Linked DNA regions of Drosophila melanogaster. Changing the gene in region 2 together with the main gene of any one other region gives a genetic interaction. Each region holds a gene or a part of one and is shown on either strand. Other genes may lie near its edges.

What was found. Genes that interact genetically often act in the same process or in processes that back each other up.
Region 1: of sna (region 2) and noc, changing one enhances a phenotype caused by changing the other (phenotypic enhancement), as found in Drosophila melanogaster (2 studies listed by BioGRID).

The regions. Positions count from the first base shown.
Region 1 is NT_033779.5:14,488,253-14,495,011, reverse strand, and holds noc (no ocelli), read right to left. Parts: upstream 4,154-6,759; 5' UTR 3,767-4,153; coding exon 3,677-3,766; intron 3,375-3,676; coding exon 1,851-3,374; 3' UTR 993-1,850; downstream 1-992. UniProt on the Drosophila melanogaster protein: May negatively regulate Notch-induced cell proliferation in the eye-head primordium. Required for development of the supraesophageal ganglion and ocelli.
Region 2 is NT_033779.5:15,475,640-15,482,398, forward strand, and holds sna (snail), read right to left. Parts: upstream 2,622-6,759; 5' UTR 2,469-2,621; coding exon 1,296-2,468; 3' UTR 954-1,295; downstream 1-953. UniProt on the Drosophila melanogaster protein: Essential for the correct specification of ventral-dorsal patterns.

The sequences.
Region 1 (6,759 bases), 990 kb from region 2:
TGCGATAATTTCAAATCGAATCAATTGAATATTGTCACAATTAATTTATTTATGAGATACACTCGAAATATCACCATTGATTTTCATTGTTGCTGTGGCTGATTGTTGCTTAAGTTTGAGTTGTCTGGTTGGTTTCAGATTTTGATATTTCTGAAGCATATTTTTTGTGAATAATGTTAGTCATTTCGCTTTGTCAGCGATTTTTTTATATGTACATACATACGTACATATGCACACATATTCATTTATATATGCATTTGAGTTGCTCATTGAATGGCAATTGATTTTTGTTATACACATTGTTGGTACAAATGTGATTTTTATTGATTTTTAATTTTCAGCTTGGGTGTTTTATGACTGTTGCCGGCGACTGTTTTATTAAGGCTTGCCCAATCAAGTTATTTACCCCACCCCTCGTGAAATTGAAATTTGCTTTTGATTTGATTTTTTAGGCTGAATACGAATCGCTGCATACAAATTGAGTGCGCTTAAAATGCAACAAGCAATGCAAATTAATAGTACTAATTTGAATTTCAAATGTGTTAGGTGAGATGGGGAAACCCAGATTTCTTCGAGTGCATCCAGAAAAAATTGAGAGCACATTAAAATACCTTTTGTCTAAAATAAAACTAATTAAAATATTTTTAAAGAATAACCTATAAGATTTTATTTATTTATTTGCCTAGAACCTTACATTTAATATCAATGATACTTATAAGAAGCAGTTCAATTCTCAGAATTAAAAACTCCTTTAGTCCCATTTCTAAGTAAGAACTATAAAATTAAGAGAATTAGACCTTGTTATGGTTTCCGGAATTTGCCACTCAGCCTTATGTAAATATAATTGAAAACCTAGTGGAGCATTATCAGCAATATTTATGACCCATATGTGAGCTAGCCAAACAGCGCAGATAACCGAAGCGAAATTATGGCCCAACAAAAAGTTTTCCAGCTGTAAAAGAGTTTGTTTCAAAAGAAAAGATTCGTGGTTTATGCTTCTAAAAATTGTTTTTTCTTGTATATTTCTCAGTTTTATACGAATGTGTTGCATGTAGTTTAAGTTATTTTTGTTTGATATTCCGTGGCTTCTTGTGTAGATCGTATTGTGGTTTGCGTACATCAAGGAGTAAATAGCAAATCTAGTTTATATTTATAGAATTTACACACAGTACATAATTATATGAAATATTCATTTTTATTTTTCGTAATTATTATTATTTTTTTTTAATTTTTTATCTCTGATTGGTTGGTATTACAAATATTCATTACACTTACTTTAAATATAAGTTGACTTAAAGAACATTATTTCAATTGTTGGTTTGTTGTATGCTTGCAGATAATCGTAATAATAGTTAATAGAACTTAAAGCGAAGTTAAACTAAAACAATGTTTGAACATCTCAGCAATGGGTTCTTCATTAACAAAATTGGAAGTTGTAGAATGTGTTCTGGCTAAGACTTAAAAAACTTTGGTTGAACTTTGAGAACAAATAAGAGTGAGTGAACTTCGTGTTGGCTGCACTTCTTTTTACCTAACAATGTAGACATTTACGATGATAGAAGAGAGTGATCCTGCTATTTTTGCGGCTACTACTGTTCTTTAGGTGGTTGATTATTTTCTGTTTGCGAAACTTAAGTGTAACTAGCGCTCTTTAAACTACAGTTTAGTATCACAGAATAGCGCAAAAGCCAGAGATGTGTCAGCCTTTGCAATCGTTTTGTGCTTTTATCTTTTTTGTTTTCCATGAAAGTATCTCAAACAGGGTTTGGAAATGGTTTCATTCTATATCTCTGGTTGTCTCTTCAACGTAATCCCCTTTTTTTTGGTATTTAACTCTTGTGGAAGTCACTTTACTGATGAGCCGCTCCCATCCTCTGGCCGTACATGGCGTATGGCGAGTAGTAGGGTCCCAGAGCAGCTGCCGCAGCCGCCGCGGCAGGATTGAATGCTCCAGCGGCGCCGAAGGGCGAAGGTCCTCCAGCCAAGGCGCCTGGTGGTGGCTTGGCGTATGGATGATACCTCGCCGCTGCCGCAGCCGCTGACATGGGACTCAGTGGTGGTGTTGGATAGCCAGCTCGGAGAGCCGATGGCGGAAATAGGGTTCCCAGCAGGGATTGAGCCTGCGATTGGGCCAAGGCCGCCGCAGCAGCCGCCGGATCGGAGAGATTGCCCGTATGGGTGCGCAGGTGGGAGAAGAGCTCGTCGGAGGTCTGGAATCGCTTGCCGCAGTAGGCATCGCCCACCACCCAACTGCACACGTAGGGTGCCGAACGGGCTGCCGCCGCGTTTGCCGCAGCAGCGGCCGCTGCCTGCGAGTATGGATGAGCTGGTGGCAGTCCGGCGGCACTGGCCATGGCCAGGCCGTATTTCTGATGCTCGCACTGGGTGCATCCGGCGGGGCAGGGGGCACCCATGAGCATTTGTTGCGTGTGCGCCGAGTAGGGACATCCCTGGCAATACGGATCCTTGCAGACTGGCACTATAGCCTCGCCGCCAGCTGGTGTCTTGATGCGCTGATAACTTATGTACGGATTGGGCTGTCCGGCTGGTCCACCGCCGGGAGCTCCGCCTGGATATCCTCCATTGGCGGCAACTGCCAACATGGCGGCGTGATGGTGTGAGAATCCTCCGGCAAACGGTGGCCGGAAAGCGGGATTGGCGTGCTGCTCCATTCCGGGCGGGCAGCACAGGGCGGACAGGGGATTCAGCCCATAGGGTCCGGCGGCCTTGTAAGCCGCTGCTGCTGCTGCTGCCGCCGCAGCCATGCTGCTCATTTCCTTGGGATGCTGGGCGGTTCCGTTGGCATTGTTCAGCACCTCCATGCCGGAGCGCACAATGGGACTGGCGCCGCGTTGCGACGATCCCGACGGGGAGACAGTCTTTCGGCTGGATGAGGAATCGTGCGCGGAAATCTCCGCCTTGCCGCCATCTGTGGGCGTGGCATTTGATTTGCTGCGCGATGGCACACGCTCCTGGGCGGATGAGGAGTTCTTAGAGCTGGGACGCGTGGGTTCCGCATCCAGCGAAGAGCTGCTCTTGAAGGAGTTCTGGTTCTGGTGGCTCAGCACATTGGTCTCGTAGGGCTTGAAGGCCAGTTTGATTTCACCGGTGCTGGTATTACTCAGACTTGCGCTGGTTGCCGTCGAGCTGATTGGAGTGCTCGACTTGGGCGATTTGGCCTGGCCGGAGGGTGACTTGGCTGCCGAGATCTCAGCACTGCCCGAGGAACTCGACGAGTTCGACGACGAGGAGCATGCTCCGGGCTTTGTCTTGTTCTTGTCCATTGCCAGCAGGGGTTTCACTGCCGACGAATCCGCTCCAATTTGGGAGCAAGTCTGTGCGAGCAGAGCCAAGGGACTCTTTTTGGCGTCCATCTGTTATGAATAAAATGAAAATGTGGAGTTGGAATTAGGTTTTTTGTAATTTTAAAGTTTTTTACGAGTTTTAAGATAATATTGATTTTAATTTGGTGAGAAGTTAAAACTATGAGAAAATGCAATTTCTTCCAAAGAAAGTTTGTTCGTGAAAGTATTAATGACGATATAAATTTTTAGATTTGAAAAATTGTTTGATGTTATGAACTTTCCAAATTTAATTCTTAAGTACGCAAAATTTAAAACCATAGATTTTACGGCCATCCCAAAATTTTACAGCTTTTAACTTAGTCAATACTAACCGTCGTTGGCAATGGGGCCAGATAATCCGGTTGAAGGTACTGGTTGTTACCGATGGTAACAACGCCGCCGCCTCCTTCCAAGACAACCATATCAGTTGCTTAGTGTGTTTTCTCGAGGGTAATCCACGTGAGTTGCGAGACAAGGCTACAAATGCGTAGCTTTGCTTCGGCGACGATGAGGTTAATCCACAGAAATGCGTCGGCAAACGTTGGTAAATCCAAAGAAAATCGGCGATTTAACACACTTGTAGTTTTGAGCAGAGAATTTATCTCTGTAGCACTATTTCAATTTGCTGGCCAAGCGATTTGTGTTTTGGCTCTGATTTCACTTTTTCACTCGAAACGAAACACTCTCGATCAGTGACCACAGTTGACTGAGGTTTCTTATTTTTGTTGGTTATATCTCTTGTCACTCGAATGGTTTTCAGGTTTTTCCGAACACGTCTGAACGCTGCGAAGTCAAAATTCGAATTGAATTCAACGACTGCGGCAGCGAGCGTAACTGCCCTCGCAGCGAAGCGTTCGCTCACTCGCGAGAGAGCGCTCTCCGGCGAGCAGCGCTGCACACTTTGGCTTGCTGCCTGCGTTAGAGGAGCACCGCCTGCTGCATGCGAGCGAGATGCACTGTGCGTAATTTTCAAATATGGCGTACTTTTTGTCCAATCACAATCGCATGCGCCTTGCAATGGAAGCCAAGACAGGTTTTCTCTCTCTCGCTCTCCGATTTGGCTTCCTGTAAAATCATAATAATATGGCTGCACCACGGCAACACTCGTCCAGAGAGCAACAGTTGAGCGCTGAGAGCGCCGCTCAGTGAGTTGTTGTTGTTGTGGCTGCTTTGGGGGGCACATTAATTTTATCTTGGCACATATGTCACGCTCACTCTCCCTCTCTGTGTCTCTCTGGGGGAACTTTTTCTTGATGGGGCTGTCAGCAGCAGCAGCGCTGCAGTGGTGGCGGCAGCGGCGCGGCAGAGGCCTCATTGTCTTCGCACCGAGATTTGTTGCTCGGAAAAGCAAACCACTCAACACTTAAACACACTCTTCAACCATTTCCATCGCCTCGCTTCGCTCGTTTTAATGTCATATAAAAATTAATTTGTTTGTCGCTCTCCCGCTCTGGCACTTCACCTCTCTCCCTCTGACCCGCTCACTCGCACAGCTGTTGTTGTGGCCTTTGTTTAGCGTTTTTCGATTAACTTCTGCGGTTGGTTTTCCCTCTTTTTTTTCGTGGCTCCTGTTTTGCTGTTTAAGTGGAAATCGTTGTTTTGTTGTCGCGTCGAAAAGTTTTTCCAAGCAATTTTTCCTCCTTCCTTGGTGTGTGTGTAATTAATCTGCACATATCAAACAAGCGAATGTGTGTTGTGGCATGTTGCACTCAGAGAGTTGGTAATAGTTTAATGGTTTGGTTAACTCCGCTGCATTTTTAATCGCTCTACAATTGGATTGAATTTTCCAGTTAGCACTTGCCTAACTTACTTATTTACGTTTCGCACGAAATCGCGTTAATCACGTTGCTTGGTTTCAAGATAATTACTGAATACTAATAATGTTTAATTGCAAAACGAGGCTGATTTATATTAAATTATTAAGAGCTAATAATAGGCTAGCTCCTTCTAAACATAATTGATTACTATTATTTAAGTAGTTAGAAAATATTATGTGACTAATCATTTAGATTTTGTTGATCTAGATCATTCTAGCCACTTTACCTAACCGATATTAAAACTCCAACGTAATCCCAACCAAATCGGTTGGACTAACCATAAACTATGTATCAAGATGTTTAACTCAAGCCCCGAGGGGATTTTGGAATATCTGGCCCTTGGGATATGTTACCTAATCACCAAGCTGAGTTTTAAGAACCCTTCAAAGCCCCTGGCAAGTAAATTAAAATCTGTATAAATATGGACGATAAGCCGAAAACCCAGAAGCGACACTTTTAATCCCGATTTAGAGTGTTTAGACATTTTTCTGTGGGAATCCCTAAGCCGAAACCCGGCAGCGAAATACCTTCGAGGCTAAAACAGGTAGAGGAAACACTCTCGGCCTTCGGCGAAATGATGGATTTATTAGTTAAGAGCGTGCTGCGATACTTTACGATACGGCTTAGACATAATTTGCGGTTTTGCGTGCAACAAAGCGAAAAAAGTGTTGCCAAAATAATGTATATACGTGTATATATGCATGTATACTGCTGCAGAGTTGGAGAGTTTACGCACACGTTCCATAGCATTTTCTCTTATTATTTGTTATTTTTTATGGCCACTTTGTCAGCGTCATAAATTCGCTGCTCCTGTATGTGAATTATTTACTAGCAAATTGCGGGAGTGGGCTGAAGGTAAATTCAAACCAGTGGCCGGGGGTGTCATATAAATAATACAAAAATATTATAAATTACACGAAGCCGAAGAAATTGCCAAGCGGAAGTGCGGAACACCTTGATACCGTGACTAAAGCGATTTGCTTTCAGACTAATGCTCACCCTGCAGCATTTCAGCGTTGATAACTTCATTTTATTCAAAAGGAGGTCGTGTAGCGAAGATTACAAATATAAAAAAAAGCGTAATTTAAATTACAAGGTACGCAGTTAAAGATGCAGCAGTTCTATTAGGTTAACAATAATAAGATCTGAAATAAAAAACTATATTGAGCTTCTAGTTATATAGTGCATCAGAGTCCTTTAAGACTAAAAATCTCGTTTTATGCAACTATAAGGAGTTTCGAATTCGAATACTCTCGATATCTTCGCCAAAGTTGTAAAGGAAAGCGCCGAGAGATATCCAAATGTAGTGGGAAAAATTTGTAGCCGCGAAAACATTTATATGGGGAATATAAAAAGGAAGTATACTGGATGCCACAACAACAACTACAACAACAAGAGCAAGAACAACAAGCGGCGGAATGGCAGAGGCAGCACATAAAATTAACCACATATTTCTTCATTTTTATGGCATTTATTATCACAGAAATGTTTGTGTGATAAAAGCGAAGCAGCGCAAAAGGCGAACGACGACGATGGCGGCGCAGTCATAAAAATGCAGCCATTTACCTTTTGATTTATGCACACCAGTGGGTGGCGGC
Region 2 (6,759 bases):
ATCTATTAGAACATGGCTATTAACAAATTGAATCCAAATACCCACTCACCTTGCCTTGATAACCATACGTGCCTAAGCTAAAATATCCACCCATATCTTGGATTTATTCCTCATACCTGTTCAAACTAAAGTATTATCACCGCGCGGGTCTAATCAAATAGTCAGATAAACCTCGACGGGTTCTCGGTTTAGAGCATGCTTCGGTGGTAATCCAATCCAATCAGGACCTGAACTACCGTCTGCCAGTCAATCAGGAAGGACTCGATAAGCAGCCGTCGCTACGTTTATCACCTGCACTCCACGGTCCTCTGGTGTCCTTTGGTATCCTTTAGGGACTCAGGACGCATGCGCCGCCATCAGTTCGGCAAAATGCTGGAAAAGGATTGCAGAAATGTAAACGTGAAGCGATGTCGGTGTCAGCTAATTAAATATTTGCATTGGCAAAAGGTGCAAAACGCCGAGCGATATGGATTGAAATTGATGGAATGCTATTAATGGGGGCGGGTTAGAAGGAAGTCCCCGAAAAGGAAAGTGTATGACAAATCGGTTCCCTGTTTGCACATGCCAAAGGTGTTTTCTCCGAGAATTCGATATTGCTATTGTTGTGATTTCTGTTTTTCGAGAGGGTTGGCGGAAATTGTCACAAAATATGAACAGGGGCAGACCCCAAAATGCGGATGTTTGGTTTCCTGTTAATTATTGTACATTTTGAAGGCACATAGAAACTGTAGAAGGAAAGATTACATTTTTTTAATGCGTTTCGATGAATGCTGTTACTACCTAAAATGTTTTCTATAACTTTTGGTTACAAATTTTTAAATTTTTTTATTCACATCTGTCTGTATTTGAGCCCAAATATTAGTGATAGAATTTAAATTGAATATTTCTATACAGTTTCCTTCTGTGAGAATTTCTTTCAAAATTGTTAAAAATAATAAAGACCATATAAATTTCTTTTCGTGAGTTTTATTTTATAAAAATATTTAATTCTTCTCTTTAAGCTAGGAATAATCTTAACAACAGTTGGCTTAACAGTACTGAGAATACATAAATAAGGGTATATTATAATTAAATGAATAGATTTGGTAAAATGCTGCGTGTGACAATGAGGCAATATACATGAACTTAAACTTAGAATACTATAGCTGAAATAAATATAGTAATAGTAGCACCAAAACCGAATCGACTTAGTACAAACTTATAATAGGTATTGTCTGTTTGTTTGGTCTTCGCCAGCGGAATGTGAGTTTGCTTAGGTAATTGTGTCCTGCTAAGGGATTCATATGTCGAGAATCCTACGCAATAGTGATGGTGCAGTTGGAGCTGGAGTGCTTGTTCAGGAGCGACATCCTGGAGAAAGATTTGTGGCACACCTGGCAGGCGTACTTCTTGACGTCCACGTGGGTCTGCTGATGAGCTCGCAGGTTCGAGCGGTCGGCAAAGGATCGTGGGCAGTCGGGGCACTGGAAAGGCTTCTCTCCAGTGTGGGTGCGGATGTGTCCCTGGAGCAGCCAGGGTCGAGAGAAGGCCTTGCCGCAAATGGGGCACTTGCAGGGCAGAGTGTGGGTGCGGATGTGCATCTTCAGGGCTCCAATGGTGGTGTACAGCTTTCCACACTCCTCGCAGGAGTGGGTCTTCTTCTCCTGATTACACTCGGCTGCCGGGCAGTGGAACTGACGGTGCTTGGACAGGCCCATCGAGGTGGAGTACATCTTCTGGCACTCGTCGCACTTGAAGCGGTAGTTTTTGGCATGATTGGCGGCAACACTCGCCGACGAGGCACTCATGGCCGGAGTGTAGGAGTATCCCGATGAGCTGCTTACACTGGCACCGCTGCTGCTGGACTTGGCCTCATCGAAAAGGTGGAACAGAGCCGGCAGTGGGATGTCATTTCGCACTGAAAGATCCTCTGGCTCGGAACCGGTTTCCAGATCGGATCCGGGGCTGGAGGGCGGCGTCATCTGCTGGTAGCTGTAGACCGACTGGGGCGAGGCCATCGAGCTGGCTGGCGAGGGGAAGGCGGCCAGATGGGGCTGATAGCTGCTCCACAGGGCAGAGATCGGATTGCAACCGGCGGCCATCACAAAGGCGGACTGGAAGGGATTAATCGTGGTGGGGGTGGCGGTGGTATATCCCGTTGTTCCTGCCGTTAGTCCACGCATATGGATTTCGGTGGGCAGGTAATCCTGGGCCTCCACTGGCGGCGACAGCAGGCAGGAGTTGGAGCTAGAGCTGGAGTTCCTTTCCGGTGTTTTTGAAAGGTTCAGCACATAGTCACGTTTCGGTTCCGGCTGCTGATAATCCTGGGTCTCCTCGTCGCGACCCCGTTTCAGGGATAGATCCTGCGGCTGATCCTGGGCAAACTGTGAGTCCTTGGTCAGGGCCAAGGCCTCCGTTTGTGGCAGACGCTCCTCCACGAAGACAATGGGGCGCTTCTTTAGCGGGCAGCTTTTGTAGTTGGCGGCCATTTTTGATGTGTGTGTGATTAAGTTTTAGTTTCCGGTACTGATCGAGATGGGTAAATCGGGAGATCGGCGATCGAGAGGCGAGTTATATAGTTCGGGATCGAGTATAGAGCGGTGGTTGCGTTCTCAACGAGAGCTGAGGTGGCTGTGACAGGTCAACAGTCGAGCACGCTCTTTTATACCCGGAACTCTGCGCCTCTGCCGACGCCGCTGTCGCCATTTGGTGGTGGTTCTTCTTCAAAACAGAAAAACACTCGCACGTGTGCGTCGCTACCTAGCAACAACAACAGCACTTTTCCCATACCCTTATTGCGTATTTCCCTCACTTCCCTCTACCTGCTCTCTCACTCTCTCTCTCTCTCTCTTCCTCCATTTCCCACCTCTCTCTCGGAAGAGCAGACGCAGGCGCACCCTCCCAGGAATAAGGATCCCCCGTATAAGTTATGACAGATCTGGTGGCTCTCCAATTTCCCGATACGCTCACAACCCACCCGTAATAACTCGTGCAGGTCCGGGTCCGAAATGCAAGTTACAATATCGCCTCCCTACCTATGGATCACCCTAAGTAATTTTCTATTTTTAAGCACGAGTCAAATAGGACTCCTAGTACTCTTCGTTCATGGGGTGGTTTCCTCACTTAGATTGAGTGCTTCAAGTACATCTGCCGATGCTCTAAATTCGGTTTTTGGTGGGGAGTTGAACCTGAGCGATACGCACTGACAAAAATGACACCTTCGCAGAGAGGTGTTCCAAAAATAGCACTGATAATGAGCCGAATTCCGAGACACCAAGTGTCAACTCTGGGGTGCACTCTACGCTGACTTATGGATCATCTCCAGTGGCTCATTGGCAGCGATCGATGAGAGCTAGGAAAACATAGCTCAGGGCATAGGAGATGTCATTAAAAACTTGACAAGGAATAGACGAAGAGTGTCAAGTCTCCTGTGAGCTTGGATCGAAGAGATCTCCTGTTCCCACGATTGGTCCGTGAAAGAATGACGATTCGAATACGAGTTACACATTTTAACTAATCCCATGGTCATCTTATTAGTATGTGAAGTTCTGCTGTCTTAAAATCAATTCGATTGATAACGTAAAAAAAATCATACTGCCCCTCAGCATCCAGCTGAGTCCTGGACGATTCCCACAATTCTCGCTTTCCAACTCCCCTGATCTTTGACTCCTTGCCTCATCGCGCACACACAACTTTCCCAGCTAGCACCTCCAGACTTTCAAGCCACCCCTCCAACTATCGATGGGAAACTTTCCCAACTCCCACTCCCGCATGGAGGCTGACATGCAGACTTTGTACCCGGAAAAACAGACAAGCCCGCATAGCCAAGTCCGATTTTCCGCGTCGTCAAAAAAAAAAAACCAGGCGCGGTGGTAAAATTGGAAAAAATCCATAGCAAACCCAAAAGTTTTGATAAACCCAAGAGGTGACAAAAAATTCCAGCGCGGAATTCCAATTCCCCGCGATCCTGCAACCAATGGCGTGAGGGAAGATGGGAAATGTCGAGCCAATAACCCAGCCGCATTTCCATTTCGTATTTCCCTGCAATGGATTTTCCTTCGACGAATGTCCGGATGTGGATCAGCGAAGGATTTAAAGTAATTTCCCATCTTATCCAATTACGCAGTCAGCGAAACTCAAGCAAAACAAGCCACGACGAGTGGAAAAACTGGCTGGGGGTTTTCTATATGTCCTCACATCCTACCTGGTGGGTCATCCCGGATATCTCGGTTATTACGTGTGTTATTCCGCGCAATGATCGCCATGTCACATCCATGCACATATCTACCTAATGATCACTACGATGAAGTCCTCGGCCGCGGAATTGCCCGATGAGCACCGCGGATAACCCGGCCAAGTCCTCATTGATGTCGCGGGAAAATCCGCACTTGTCGAACCCATATATCCGTTGAAGTACCTGACTTGCAAAAATTCCTGGTCGGGTTGGCCCGCTCATTAGTATTAGGTAGATTGGCGGCCAGTGTTTTCCGCTTCATTCATTACTTCATTATTTTGGGGAAAACCCTTTCGGGGGTTAAATACTTTTTCCCCGACTCGCTCGGGATTTCTGCAGGTGCTGGGATGAAGTTCGATTTTCCATAGACATTGTTGTTGTTCTTGTCAATTTTTGCTGAGAATAGGACCGTCCCATTTTTGCACCTTGTTCCCTGGCTCATTTGTTCAAGTTGACAATGAAGAGGGAACACAGGGATCTACAGAGCTCGACTGACATTGTTCGAAGAGGAGCCATGCGAAATAGTAAATCCGAGTCACAAAACAGAACTAGGTCGACAACCAGTGCAAAAAGGAGACATTATGAACGATGATCGAAATGTATTTTAAGAACAACACATTGAACTTTGTAATTTTATTCATAATTAATGTTACGGAGCTTGTAAAAAATGTTTTTCGTTTTGTTCTTCTTATTAAATATTCGCATAAAACACTCAGAAAAATCATATCACATTTTCGCCCAAGGATAACTGTAACTGTTTTTTCAGCTTCCTAGACTGTGTTTCTCTAACCAAAACCCCCACTCCTTCACAGGCCATCACAGCCTAACAGTATATCCAGGTCACCTGGCCTGGTGAACCTTTTGCAAAAACGAAGATATAAAGAGGAGAGAGAAAAAGAAAGGAACGAACATTAGGGATACCACCAAGGAAAACAAACTATGGCCCAAGATATACGATGTGTGATGTCGTTGACAATGAATTGTTGATTACTATACTACCCCCAGGTCAGGCTCTCCTTTTTTTGGCACGGAACAAAGGAGCTGCGATCCATAAATCGAAGATCGGAGAAGCAGGGAAAATCACTGCCACGGGCTGTATGTGTGTGCATGTGGACCGGGTGCATTGCACAATCAATAGGTAGGTTCGCGGCACAATGGCCAAATACAGTGGAGTAAATGTTTTGAAAAGCCAGCGAAAGGAATTGCTTCTCGGAATCCTTCGGCGGGGCCGGCGTATCAATGTCCTTTAGCCAGAAGAAATCAAAAAGTTGGATCACCTGGCCGTATCTGTCGGCGTTTATGTGCGGGTGCGGGTTCCATCGCTACCTGTGGCCCATTGTTCGCTGCAAATAGTGAATGACCCCCGACCCCGACCCTGGCGGGTCTGAAAATCTAAACGGACCCCAAAAACCATCCCAGCAGCAAGCTCTATTGTCGCAAGTCCTGCACTTGTGGCAGCTGCCTTGACTTCCAGTTCGATTCCCCCTTGGCTTCCCTTCTTCTTTGAGGTTCGACGCAGGTTTCGCGCCTATTCACGGTTCGTTATCCTGTCAATTCAGTGCCGACATTACAGATCCTGTTGTCAGTGTCCTGTCGTCATCGCTGCCCCCAACGTTCCATTATGCTACGGCGACTAAGCTGATTAGGGGACATCGCGTGTGTCCTGCTTATTGGCCACACTAAACACTCTGTTTAGCCTATTACACGTGTCTCCTAAATGAAGTGTGTAAATATTATTTAACTCTGTTGCGGTGATTACGGACTACATAAAAAAAGGGAGAGTTTTTTGTCTGGTGAAATTTACTACAGGGGTTGAATGTGATTATTCACTAATGATTATAGTGATTTCCGCTTGGAAACGCTTCCGAAAAGGAGAGCCACCATTTTGTGCTTAACCGAATTATACTTTCTTCTACATATATATAAAAATAATAAAACATATCCCAATAAATTCATTTTGTTATTATTTTGATTAAGTTAATTACATATAGTTGAGTTAGGGAAAAATGGAATTATCAGACTAAGAAGTTTCTCATTCAACCAGTGGTTTTTTATATTACTTTATCCCTAAATATATGGGACATCTTATCTCCTTTGCCAGACGCCCACCACGTTATGCCAGGTCAGGCCGATGAAACAAACTCCCCTATTAACAAGATTTCCAACACCTTTTTGGCAGGACCTTAGATGCTCCTTGTGCAGAGCAAAAAAAAAAAAAAACCCGCACAAACACAAAGCAGACAAGGAGCCGTTAAGAAAAAATCATTGCACCGGGCGGACGGGTGAACGGACAACAACAATGCACCAAGGAAACCCAGAGGATATCGCATCTGCGCCTGCGGGCAGGCAGGAGCATTTTGAAATCAGGAATCAGCACAAATCGGTGCTGGAAATAATGTCAACTCGAGGGTGGCGCGTTGGTGGCTTGGCATTGACAGCTGCAGCTCAGCCCAGGATTCTTCTCCTTTGGCGCGTCTTCGTCTTGGGCCATCGGCTTGGGTTTTTCGTTTTCAGCTCTTGGGTTTTGGTTTTTGGCAAGATGTGCA